Linked DNA regions of Saccharomyces cerevisiae S288C. The protein of the gene in region 1 interacts with the protein of each later gene in a biochemical or structural test. Each region holds a gene or a part of one and is shown on either strand. Other genes may lie near its edges.

Evidence for each region.
Region 2: the proteins of IFH1 (region 1) and TAF4 form a complex in vitro, tested with the Saccharomyces cerevisiae proteins (one study listed by BioGRID).

Annotation. Positions count from the first base shown.
Region 1 is NC_001144.5:580,098-589,687, forward strand, and holds IFH1 (Ifh1p), read right to left. Parts: upstream 5,394-9,590; coding exon 2,136-5,393; downstream 1-2,135. Other genes in the region: U3 snoRNA-associated protein UTP13, read right to left, coding at 1-1,674; UCC1 (Ucc1p), read left to right, coding at 6,367-7,476; YLR225C (uncharacterized protein), read right to left, coding at 7,598-8,821; BUR2 (Bur2p), read left to right, coding at 9,257-9,590. UniProt on the Saccharomyces cerevisiae protein: Transcriptional coactivator that together with FHL1 regulates the expression of rRNA and ribosomal protein genes. Its activity is negatively regulated by environmental stress.
Region 2 is NC_001145.3:273,163-277,711, reverse strand, and holds TAF4 (Taf4p), read right to left. Parts: upstream 1,668-4,549; coding exon 501-1,667; downstream 1-500. Other genes in the region: PLB2 (lysophospholipase), read left to right, coding at 1-151; MVP1 (Mvp1p), read right to left, coding at 2,160-3,695; AIM34 (Aim34p), read right to left, coding at 3,998-4,549. UniProt on the Saccharomyces cerevisiae protein: Functions as a component of the DNA-binding general transcription factor complex TFIID. Binding of TFIID to a promoter (with or without TATA element) is the initial step in pre-initiation complex (PIC) formation.

The DNA.
Region 1 (9,590 bases):
CTTGACTGTTTTATCACCTGAAGAAGTTGCCAATAATTTATCATATTGGCAAAATGATACATCCCATAGTCCACGCTTGTGGTTGGCCAACGTGGCTTCCAATTCACCATTTTCTAGGTTCCAGATCTTACAGGTCTTGTCGTATGATGCTGTTGCAAAAATAGAATCGTTAGGAGAAACTGACAAAGCATTGATATCCTTTTCATGGGCATGACGAGTATATTCGGATACCTTGATGATTTGAACATCCATACTAGCAGTTGGCTTTGGAATTATCCATTTCTTAATTGTTAAATCATTCGATGCTGTCAATAAAAATTCAGGATATCCCTTTGAAACTATATTTGGCAATCCAACAGCAGTTACGGCAGCTGAATGACCAATATACTTGGCATAAATATCAAACTTGCAGCTGTTCTCATTGTATCTCCAAACAATAGCCGTATTATCTTTAGAGGCGGTTGCGATCCACAGGCCATCCTCAGTAGCATCCAATGAATTTAGCAAATCTTCATGACCTTCATAAATTTCGACATCCAAAGGCAGCGAAGCTTCTGGGCCTGATAAATCGGGGACGGGTATTATCCTAAGCGATGGAGAATTGGTAGCTAAAGCTAATTTATTCAGCTCTGGGCCAACATACCTCATGTCAGCAATAATACCATGATTACCAGCAATGCTCGAAGTGACCTGTATTGTGTCTTCATCATTCTTTAAGTCTTCTTCAACGTTAATTAGTTGTAATGTCTGGTCAGACAATACTAAAAACATCTGTGAATTGCTCAATATTGGAAGTACACCAATAATGAATAACTCTTCTATAGGTTTATTGGTTCTTTTAAGCACGCTACCAGATTCAGAGTCAATTAACTGAAAGATAGCATCACCGCCGGCTGTATAAATTATGCGTTTACCGTCACCATCCTTTAGGAATCCGCATGACTCTACCTGTTGATTTACTGGAAGTGTTTTCAACAATTTACATTTCTTTTTCATATTGAAATCCCAGAGATTGATGATATCGTCTCTACCACCGGAAAGTAAATTTAGGCTTGGCTCATCATTATCTGGTACCTCAATGATATCCAACCCTCTCACAGCAGATGTGTGCTCTTGTAATGTGTGCAAGCACTTCCTTTTAACAAGATCCCAAACCTTTACCATACCATTGGTGTCACCGGATGCTAATAACCATATTTTACTATTCAATTGTCCATAAAACTTCAAACTGGAAATTGTACCACCATGACCTTTGAACGAATGAGTAATGTAACCATTTTCAATATCCACAACAATTATACTACCATCTGTCCCTCCGACTGCGAGAAGCGTTGAAGTGGAATCTGCGTCGAGAATGTACGATGGAGAAGAGATTTTCATTGATCTGACAACTTTCCCGGTCTTAAGGTGAAAGATTTTTAAAAGCTGAGCTTGTGAAACATACGTGAGATATTGACCATCAGGAGTTAATTTCAGTGCAGTAATTTCTTGCTCGTCTTCATTAGAAATCTTGTGCAAAATTTTTCTGGAGCCTGGGGTTAAATCGATTATGTTGATTTCGTCAAGCACCGGAGTAGCTAGTATTTTACCATTTTCTGAAACAGTGGCAACAGCACTGCTTCCTGCATAAATAGGGTTTAACGATATACCTTTATATGAGGTTTTCAGATCCATATTGTACGTAGTATGGCTTACTACCGTTGAGAGTACTATGTTGTTGGTTCACACCTTTAATGCCATACCGCTATTATATCTGAGAGCGATGAGCTGAATTTTTCAGAAAATTTTCAGTCGCTTTACACGGATATATTAAGAAGCTCCATCTTAATCGCCAGAAGAGTGGATGAGGTTATCATCTCAACTAGAGTCGAAGAGTAAGGCAATCCATCAAATGGGGTTGCTTGAGGCTTATTTACTTTTATACGTCTGATTGGACGGATTATACCAGTAAAAAAAATATTGATTGTGTTTTTCTATAAAAATATGCATATATAAGTAAAAAAATAACATGTAATTCTTTTCAACCAACGATAAAGCAAAATTCAGAGTAGAATAAGGCAAAGTCACATACTGATGATGATATTGTAAACGAAAGGTGATTTGATTGTAGTAACCATAAAAAAATGCAAAATAGCTCATTGTAAGACGTCATTGAATTCGAATGAATGGTTAACATCATTGCCCATAATTCCTTCGATATCTGCCAATGCACTCTCACTAAATAAACCATTTTTAGTGAAACGAAGATTTTCAGCCGCTGCTTCCACCATACTTTGCCTTCTTCTCCACATGGAATTACTATTTTCATGGCTTAATGTATTGTCGAATTGCACAGGAGCGGTTAACGATGCTAGGATATCGGCGTCAGTATCTTCGATCACATGACCTTCTTGTGCATCATAACCGTTAATATCACCTACAGACAGTAAGTCATTTTCATCTTTGCCCAAAATCTCATGAATTTCATCTAAACCAACACTTTTTGTTGAATTTTTCCTTGTATTGCTGTCCACGGCAAGATCAGAATTATGAGGTATTAATGACGCATCTTCAGGTGCGTGAGAGGGAAGTTCATTCATAGGGGTATTTTCATTGGTTGTAAAATCGGTACCGGTATTTATGTCGCTATGGCTGTTATTGTTACCGATGATCTCATGGCCATTGATTCCCAATTGTAAATTCATAGTTTCTTGCTCCTTTATTGCCTTTTGTCTTTGCTTTCTTATTTTAAGAAGCTTCTTTTTTTTCTTTAACTGCCTTTTTTTTTCAGTTTTTTTCCGTTGTAGCTCTTTCATCTTATCAATCTTCTTTCTTGTTCTTTCATTACCAATATAGCCAATGGGAACTTTTCTGTTAGAATTTGCTGGTATCATGTACTCATCTTCTTCATAGGCATTAATACCCTTATTTCTAAATGCAGATAATGGAACCTTAGGAACTTCATACCAATCTGCAGCATGGCCATTTGTGCTTTTGCTATTAATTGCATCATTGTAATTGTTCTCCATATCGTCTGTGTGGGATGGTGAATCATCCTCCAATTCACTCATGTTTAGCAGCTCATTGAGTGTCAATTCGTCACCGTTATTGCCATTAGAGCTTCCCTCTCTTTTAACATCTGGGGTTTGAGCCCTTTGATGTTGCTCGCGAAGCTGTTGATGTTCTTGGATTAAGGCGTATAATGATTTAGTAGACAGACCATCAATAATACTAAAAGGTTTGTTGTCCGTCTCCCAAGTACCCAATTTTGGTGGACGTAATCCAACAACATTTGAACTTACGATTTCCTTTGCTTTTGAGCCAATGTTTTTTGACCTTGAACTTGGGGGCGGTAGGTTATCATCTTCATCTGTGGATTCGTCATCAACGTACACAACAGTCTCTAAGAGATCATGTTTGCAATCTTTGGATCCATCAGAATTTTCTTTGTCTGAGTTAGAACTTATCAAAGAGGAAGATCCATCGCTGTCGTAATGAAAGTAAAAAGAGTCTGGATCTAAATCATCGATGTCTATGAACACATTTGTCACGCTGGAATCATCGTCGTCGTCTTCGTAATCGTCGTCCAGTTCTGTGCCAATGTCTAAGCTATCTGAATCTAGTGCCCTCAATTCTTCATCCGTGTCAGCATCGTGGGACGTTTCAGATTCACTGCATTCATCATCTGAAGGCATATGGGCAACATCCAACAAAATGTTATCATATTCATCGTCAGAAGAATCATATTTCCCGGAATTCAGGACCGTACTATGAGTGGATGGTTCCAGATCATCATTGGATTTTATCAAATTCGAGCCTTTATTCTTATGTTCAATATGACTTTTGCCCGATTTATGCCTGCCTTTCTTGCTCTTATGGCCACTATTTTCATCATCTGATTGAAAAAAAACATTGAAAATATACTCATCATTGTCCACATTGGAGGTTGTTCTCGTACTAGGTTTTTGCGTCTTTTTATAGAGCTTTCGTCTTTGTTTCCTTTCTTCCTGTTCCCGTTTTTTGGCCTCTTTCTTTTTTAGTTTAGATAGTTTTTCATCATTTAGCATTAACGGTAAAGATGTACTCAAGGATAGCTTTGGCTCTGAACCATCGCCATAATAATAAAGATTTGCAAATTTAGGATCTTCATAAAACGGCATATCAAAATCAGACATTATTTCATCTTCTTCGTCATCTTCTTCATCATATCCGTTTTCTTGATTGTATTCATTTTGCAAAAATTTATTTTCAGCATCTTCTACAGGATCAGACCCTTCTTCGTGTATACTACCATCGAATGAGAGTTCGTCGTCATTTTGTAGCTCAGAAACAATGTTTTGTTCTTCTTCTTCCAATATGGGAAGATCGTCTTCCCCCGTTTCAAGATCTGTACCAATTTCTCCATGAGAATCTTCATTGTTAATCACGTCAAAGTACGCATCCTGGTCAATATCATATTCAGATTCATCTGACTCTGAAATATTGGGAAATCGTAACTCATCGTTGTTACCTAACATCACCTTAGAATCCAGTTTATCTTCTTCATTACCATTGTTCTCTTTGTTTTTTAAATCCAAGACTTCTTCACCTATATCCTCGTTATAGCCTTCATTACCATTACCAAAACTAATGCCGTCGTCCTCTTTTTTGAATTTAAACGATAGCGCCTGTTGTGTAGTAGTAGTGCCTGAACCGTTTACTTCTTTTTTGTTTGATTCTTGTTGTTTTTGTTGCTCTTCTTTCTCTTTTTCTTTTTCTTCTTTCTGCTCTTCTTCATTTTCTTTCTTAGGGGATAGTTTAACTGATTTATTTTTGTTACTGTTCTCACGAGAGGAATAGAGTGTATTGCTATTTGTATTCATGGCAGATAAAGCTTTCATGGCTCTTTTCTTTCTTTGGGCCGTCAGTTTGACAAAATCTATATTCTCGTCATCAGAACTTGTTTCGCTATCACTATCACTATCACTTCCGTCATCATCATCGTCGTCGTCGTCTTCGTCATCATCTTCTTCTTCTTCTTCACTCTCTTCTTCTTCATTTTCACTCTCTTCGCCATCTGTTACAGCTTGGTAATCGGATGACTCTGTGCCCTCGTCGTCATTGTCTATTTGCCTTTGTATAAGTTTACTTTTTTTTCCTTGGGAATTATTTGAAATGTTCTTTGCTTTTCTTTTAATTTTATGTGGGTTTGTACTTTTGTTTTTATCAGAATCAGATACGTCACTCAAGGATGACTCAGAAGAGTATATAAGGCTAAATCTTCTTGGCCTCGTTGTACTCAGTGTGGGTGGTGATTGCCTGGACTTTGTATCGGATTCGCCCTTTTTTATGAGCCTTTTAATATTTGCTGGCAGTTTACCAGAATGTGTACTATGATTGATCGTACTTTTTCGAGGACTTTTTTTGCCTGCCATTTCGTTCTGTTTCCAGTTTGCCGGTTGTTTTTTCCTTATTTGTTTATTTGCTTCCTTGTTGAATTTCCTTCAATTTCAACAAGCTTGAAAATGAATTTCGTAGAATGAATATTACTATGTTTGAAATGGTTATTGCTTATGATGCTCACCGAAGTTAAAAAAAATATTATAGGTTTGTCCTATGTTAGAATTGTGGAAAGGGAGGAATGTAATAAATAAGCAGTAATTAAATATAGCCTTTTGAAGAGTTCCTCCTTTTAATTTCTTGTAGCAAGTGTTTCGAATGTATTCAAATATTACCAATGATTATACAAATACTTACAGCAAGTCAATTAAAGAGCCGTAAAAGCTAAACGTCAAAACGTGTAAAGCACCTATTATCTAGTCTCTTTTCCCTAGTTGTACTTTAAATCAATTTAGTGATGAGATGAAAAAAAAAAAAAAAAAAAAAAGAATTCCAACGAAAAAGAAACGACGGGCAGGGCAACCTTTAGAGATTTCAATCCGTATAAAGAGATGTAGTAGGCAGTACGGGTAACATCGTCACAATTCATAATGGAACTATCTAGCTTTTGCTTGATTGCAAAGTTCTACACCCGTTGATACTTCAAACATCTTTGCAATACGTAGGTAGGGGTCGCGTACTAGCAGCCTCCTAGTTAAGTGTATCTTTCAATCGCATTACGGAACAACTAGGCATCCCGAACCCCACACGGAAAAATCGGAACAATAACTGAAAATTTCCTTTTTCTTTTTTTTGCTCTTCAAAGTCTCTGCCCCTCTATTGCGTACTCGATTGATTTTTTTATCAAAGGCCATCTCAGACAAGTAGATCTACATTGGAGTTTCTCATAATATTATCACTATCGGAAGGTAGCATAACCTTTAATAGAGTTTCCGCTGTTTGCTTGGCTCGTTTTTTTGTTTGTACTATGCCTATTGGCGCAAAGAAGACAGAGTGTGCAAACAAGAGATGAATCAGAGCGATAGCAGCTTGATGGATTTACCACTGGAGATACATTTATCATTACTAGAGTACGTGCCTAATGAACTTCGTGCTGTCAATAAATACTTCTACGTTTTGCATAACCACAGCTATAAGGAGAAGAGTTTGGCGTGGATAGCTGAGGACAACTATATATGGGCCGTTGTCAAACATTCATTATGTTTATATGTCAAGAGTTTGGACCCACTTCGACAGCATGCCAGAGAAATCATTCAAGAAACGAAGGAACCAGGTTTTAATGTGCCACTGTGCATGACTAAATACATCGCAGATTCTTGGTATATTGTATACAATGCGCTGCAATATCCTGGAAAGATAATTAATATGGGATGGGACAAATATACCAAAAGTCAAGATTCAAATGGTTCTGATTCTACCAGTAACTTTAATAGTCGGCCCAAGGAAAGAACTCTTATGCAGTCGTTGACAGCTTTACCTGTTAACTTTTGGTCCAGGAGGAAGGACGAGCCTACACCGGTAAACGTTTGGTTTTATGTAAAAAATGCGCACGTTGCCAGATACATACCGAAAATTATTACGGAAATAGGCATATGCAACTATGGGCCGAAGCAGATCGTGGCAAGTGCAGGATATATCAACGAATTGATAACATCTGAAGGAATATACTGTGTTAACCTAGGCCACCTTCCCAGGCTATACGATGAGCAAATTTTTGAAGGCACTGGAACGACACATCTTCCCCTGGAACTGAAAGCTATCGACAGGACAGATTCAGATGTTTGTATCAATGGTGATTTAGTTCTACTCGGTTATGACTTTATTCCATATCAGATATCGAAGCCGTGGTTACTCTTTAGAATCGAACCCGTAAATAGCATTGAAGCAATCTTCAACTATAGTGAATGTTCTTTTTCATACCAGTTTGCATGGAGTTTGGCCTGCTTACAATCTGAAGAGAAAATTTCATTTCCTAGAGACACGATAATTGGGCACGGTTTACCTTACAAGCCATCCAAATTGATAAGAATTTTCGTCTACAAGCATCCGGAACAAAAGCAAGATCTTGGTCAAGAAATAGCATTGCCCAACTGGAATACCCCTTATCTTCGAAGATGAAAAAAAAATTTATCAATTAGTCTATAATATATGTGTATATACGTCTATGCACCTACCTACTTATAAATGGATATAATATTCTTGCAATGATGAAAATATGTATAGTCAAATTTCATTTTTTTCAATTGATAAATGTACTTTCAATGATGGAAACTCCTTCATCGTCATCGAATTTAGACTTCTGGCAGAATTGGTAAATGAATGGCTTCATGTTTGCCAGATTTTCAGCAATAGACCTAATGAAAGCGGGCAGCTCACTCATTATATCGTACCTATTGACTAATCTTAAATTAGATTCTTCAAAACCACGCGGAAATGAAATGGATGTAGGATATTTCCAACCATTTTGCTTATCCTCTTTTGTAGATGGAAATTTAACAGCATGATCATTTACACTTGACCCGACCTCCAAAATTTTGTCCTTATCACTAACCGCCCATATAGTCACTGTAGTGCTGCCATATTCTTTTGTTGTGGTGAATTCAATACACATCATCGAACGCTTCTCACCATTGAAACAAAGAAAATTCCATTTACTAGCCGCCTTATTGGGTATTAGCCCCTGGACAGCATCCAGATACAACATAGGCGTGTCCTTCAAGTCCAGCTTCACAGGTTTATCGTTTTTCTTGTATGAGATGGTACCATTGCAAAAACCTCTAGGAACAAAAACATGTCTTATCATTTTTCTGGACGTACTAGAAGAGTCTCTTTTTGCTAACTCTTCCAAGCTGATGCTCTTGTCAAGGTAATAATTGGAACCGTCCGGGTTTATTATGAATCCTTCTTGTAAATTTACGGTAATGTCAACCTTCAAATCTTTTAGTAAACAGCTTGTACTTCCCTTCGGAATATCTATCTTAATTAATAATTGAGCAAATCCACTGGAGGAAGAATTTTCCAAAGGTACGAAGTGAAACGTAACATTGTCCGATTCAACTTTTAACGTATCAAAATCTTTGATATTATCAATTTTAAAGCTTTCCCATATATCAATGTCTTCTTCAGAGTTTTCCTCACTGCTGGCTTTAAATATTTTGAAATTTAACTGAAAACCTTTGTATATACCGCCCATAACACTGGAATATAATAGTTGAATTAATCCACATTTGCCGTTGGTGAGATCCGTAAAATACAGAGTTTGTGTCTCTATTCTTGTTTCCGTTGGATTTCTTACTGCTTTTAATAAACTATGTGACTTGAACTTTTTGTGATTTGACGTCCTGCAAAACCATTCTAGTTTCGATGTATCCTGAAATTTAGTATAATTAGCATGATCCTTCTCGGATAAAACTTCCTTAACGGGGGCAAATTTCGTCTTCTCCTTTTTGATCGCAACCGCCATTTTTTCTTTGCTCTATGATTTTTATGTTAATTAAACTGTTCGTTGCCCTAAAATTTTGAAAATTTCTCGAATATTTAGAGAGAATCCGTCACTATTTTAGTATCTATCTTGTCTATTTATATATAAAATCTCATTCCCCTGTTATGGTTTTTGCCAAGCCCTATCCCAAAAAACCAAATGATACATGATAAACCTATTTATCCTCTTTAACAGACCTATCGTTTAAAGCTTTTTTATTGCAAACCCTATTCATTATGGCTTTTTGACCTAGGTCTCATTGTGACTTCTATTTTTCACTGTTCAGTAAAAAAAGAAAAGTGATTAAAAAGTATCACTATTTCTGTTAGAAAGCAAGTAGCTATTTTGATTGGTAATTATATACACATATTGAAGGAGGCCGTAGTATTTTCGTTTAAAATATATTACAGTAAGATAATGTCTGCTACATCTTCAAGTGGTGACGTGAAAAAATTTCAAGCTGTACCAAAACCAACGAGCAATGCATCACCACCACCAGCATCGAGTGGGTTTAACGCAAGGACCCTATGGCCGGATTTGATAGAAACACCAGAAAACCAGTGGGTTTTTGAGTGCAAAGATATTATTGAAAAGATAGGCACTAATGGACCGATAGCAGTGGAAATAAAAAAAAATATGGAAAAATGCTTAATGTACTTTTACACACTTAAAAAAAAATTAAATCTTTTTGATCACACCTATACGGCATCATGCATTCTATTTTACAGGTATTGGTTCATATATGGAATAC
Region 2 (4,549 bases), on another chromosome or scaffold:
AAATTCTTCATCCTCTTCAATTTCTTCCTCTACAGCTCGTTCTTCTTCCTCTACGGCAAACAAAGCGAATGCTGCGGCTATTTCCTATGCGAACACTAATACTCTAATGAGTTTGTTAGGTGCCATAACAGCATTATTTGGACTAATTTAGAAGCCCTTCTGAGAAACAATACATAATACATCCTTTCACCCAAAAGGATAATGACAAGTAAATGTATAAAAATGTGTATTAATATGAAAATTTTTTTCCCGATTATCACTCCTCTTTCCGCTATTTTTGGTAGAAGGATGCCTAACTTCAAGGATTGATATATCTTCCTTATTATAAAGTTAAAATGAACAAAGCAAAAAGGTTGAATGGTCCTCAATAGCTTGGCGATGACTTGACTAAGCGACACCAACCGGCCTTCTTTATGTTAGTCAATCTTGTTTTTTTTATATCCTAGTTTATTTGAAACACTATACCTTTAAATATTATAGACAGTATAAGAGATGAGCAATTAATCTCTGATCTTGGCATAACCCTTTGAAATAATAGTCTGAACGCTGTTGCGCCTATTTTCGAGAGCAAAGAGTAAATCCCTCATTACTATACCAGGCTCCTCTCTAGCTTCTCTAAACTTTAGCCCACTTTCTCCTCTAGCCGTGATGTCGGAGGCGACTTTGCCTGAAGATTTTGCTCCCAAGGACGTCGGCTTATTTACTGATGAAGTTAGCCAACCATACTGTTTTTTACTACCTGCTCTAAGGCCAGCCGTAACGTTCGATGCTCTGTGTAACGTCTCTTCGGAATCAATCTTATTTTCATAATCTTCCTTCTCGAGTCCCAACGCAATTCTTTTTTTCACACGCCTTTCTTCTTCTTTTTTTTGAATTAGTGCAATGGCTCTTAAAGCCGCAGAAACTTCACTTCTTCTACCAGAATTTATCTTGACTGCTTTTCTTCTATGTCGGGAGATGACAATGGCATTTGTTAGGATATCTCTCATATAGTTTTCGCAGGCACTTGACATCATGTCCAAAATTTCAGGATTCTTTGTAGGGGTCAGGTTGAAGTTTTGCTCTTTTCCGACTTTCCTCATATAATTGGAAACTTGTTCCGGGTGAAGGAATGGTAAATGGTTGGGGATCTTAACGTTATTTGTTTGAACTTGGGATTTTGAGGCATTAATAGATGAATTTAGAAGAGCCTCCTCCTCCCTAACATCGATACCTGCGGAAAAAAGGACATCTTGCATTTTATTTGGGTCTGATTGTTGTTGTGCATTCTGTCCTGAGGAGTTGGATGCTTTGCCATCTTTAGAATCTGCTTTACTCGTACCCTTGTTTTTTTTTTTATCATCCTTTTTTGGTAGAGCTAGTCCAGCAGGGCTAGAGAACATATTGTTTGTATCTCCATTACTTTCAACTCTCAAATTAGTTGTGGGTGATACATTTTTAGGAAGAACAGAATCATCCGTATTACCTGCCGCATCATTGTGAGTTGAAGATACATGTGCGGTTGATTTTATCTGGCTAGGCGACGGAAGGCTATGTGATAGCTCACTAGCTTTACCTGGTGACAAATTAAATGCTGGTTTCGTTTCTGGGACGGTATGTTGATATTTAGGCGTGTCTGACGCTGATACTCCAGTGCCATCAGATGGCTTTTTCGGCGAATTTGCCATTATGTGATATGATGCCGAAAGACAATATGTGCACTACCAATCGATAAAAGCACTTTAGATTACGTGCAGGTGAGGTTATACAGAATGCTGATTAGAAAAACTTTCCCATTTGAGCTATTACACGGACCACATTCGACTTATCGATGTTCAGTTCATTCACTTTTTCAAATTAAGATCATTTATGACGAATATTGAATACTGGAGAATACACATTTTTAGCGGGCGTCGTTTGTCCGGCATATTATAAGGCTATCTAATCCAAATTATCGAAAGATTTGTTACCTTCTAATAAATATGGGAACCTATAATATCCGAATTAGGCTTCATACACTGTATTTAAAATTGAAAAACAAATAAATAACAATTTATAGTGGTACATATCTTTACTCTATTTACCTAATTATTTCTCTGTTTAGTACGTCAATTACATCTGTTGGATATCCTTCAATAATGTTTTGGCAGACTAAGTGGTTAGTCTTCACTCCGTAAAATTTATTCACGAGAAATCGGCATATCCATGATGCTTGTGACGAGCTTTTCCCACTCATTCAGTTTGAGACCGGCATGGTTGGAGTTCAATTTTGCCCAATCCTGGAAGGCACGTGTTATTAAAAATTGGGTTTCCTGAAAGATTGTAAACTCTTCCAAAATACATTGTCTTATCAACCAAGCTCTGTTTGATTGCTCTATTATGCTTCTTCTATCCTTCTGTATGATTTTTTTTATCCTGTCGTACTCTGCTCCACTGACATCTGGTTTTCCTTTCATCGATTCCAATTTCTCTTTGTTCAATTCGACATGTCTTTGCAATTCAACTACGTTATTTGCAGCCATAATTTTGTATCTCTCAAATAAACTTCTCAAAGAAAGTAAGATGTCCGTGAAAATTTTGAATTTTGGCGATAACGTTCCCGATATTTCTTCTGTTTCTTGTTTGCAGATACTACTCGTAGTTTCTAGGTGTTTTTTAATTATACTCAAATTGTTATTAATGTCCAATATGGTATCATTTTGTTGTACCGGATATAGTTTTGGAGTCACTTCGCTAAAGTTATCCACTAGTGTCTCAAAAAAATTTCTTTCGTGTACCATTTGCATAATTCTTTTTTCATGCCTTTCCAAGAGAAGCGTGATTCTATACCATAATTCCATCGAGGTATCGATACAAGATGCAGCCTGGTTCCATTGTTCTGCAAACTCTTTTTTCCACATTTTCATAAATTCTTGTGATATCTTTTTATCAGCGAATTCGTTTGAAGTGTCATAGGTTGCTTGCTTTCTCCAACTTGTTAAGTCAGTGCGTACGGTTAAAAATGTTAACACTAAATCATCATTACTTAATTTAGGGTGTTTCATTACCAAATTAATGAATCTAGATAACCCTATTCTTCTTTTCTTCAAAAAAAGCTGGTCTGCGTTTTGGGATCCAATTCTTTTGGGAGGTAGCTCAGGGATCATTCTAAAAGGGTATCTTTTCAGCAGAATTTCTCTTAACCATAAGAAATCAGAGTATCTTCTTACGACAGTACGTTCTTCAGAAGGCGAGGTACTTGGAAGAGCAATGAGATGTTTCACTAAATAGTTTGCGTGCTTGAAAAGTAAACCCTCTCTTTCAGGTATCTCTTCAATGATGATGATGTCGGCATCTAGAGGTCTGTATGTTTTTCTAACGTTGTTAGTCCAATCAAGTAAGTCGGCTTCAGATTCTTCTATATTCTGATCTCTAGCATCATTCTTATCTATAACTGTCTCATTGGCCGCTATATTGGGAGTTTGGCTCATGCCAGTTGCACCAAGAGGATTTCTACTATCATCCCAGATACTTTCTTCAAGCACATCGTTGGTCGGTAAAAAACCAGTATCCTCCTCATTTGTGTCCAGAGGTGTTGAAAAGTTCAAGGTGTTAAACTCACCAGAGATTCCGTTGAGGCTGGGTTCACTATTGGTGGTAGAAACGACGTGATCATCATCCTTAGTCCATGCATTAGAACTGGTATTCCAAGGATCACTGCCTTCGTAATTGTCCATTACTTTTTTTTTCGCCTCAGTGGTGTTTTATAGAATCCAAATTCGATTGCTTTTACTATTATTTCTCTTACAACTTGGGTGAAAAGAAGTGGCGTTCACCCTGTTTTCATTGTACCTTCCTTCCTCACTTTTTTTTCTGGCATGTGTTTCGTAAAAGCGCCTACCTTAACCGAAAATGACGGCAATATCGAGATGATCTGGATCAACAATAACTTATTGAGAGCGTAGAGAAAAGTAAAAGTGTCTTAATAAATTATGAAAGAATATACAGTTCAATTAATTACAGTGCTAGAATTATATTTCTAATGGTCAATGGTAGGTTTAGATTCCTGAGGTTCGAGGTTCCACCAAAGACACGATAACATGAAAAATCCTAATAAGAATATTCTATCCCTTGGTTGCAAGTGTGAATGAACGTCGCAGGGAGTTTCGATAACAGGTGTGTTCTGCAGTGAAGAAATATTTTTTTCAATAGTTCTAAAAGTTTTATCACTAACCAATTTCTTCGTGATTTTGATTGGATCATTTATTAATATCCTCTTTTTTTTGGGTTCATTTATCTTCACACTACTTTTTTTATTTGAACATGAATCGTGCGTGATAAGTCTTTGTAGCAAATCTGATTTGCGACCTGATAATTTTAACCCTCTTGATTTGCACTGCTCTTTGAGAACTTTAACTGTAAATTTTTGAAAAGGTGTTATATCGTTATTATTCATTAAAAAGCTCAAGTGGCTCTTCGTTTGGGTGCTATGTACATATCTGTGTAGGCTCACCTTGTAAGCACCGGGCTGTTTCAATAGTAAGGTAAACGGTAAATATAGAGATCTCCCTGGCTCAGCCGCCCGTATGCC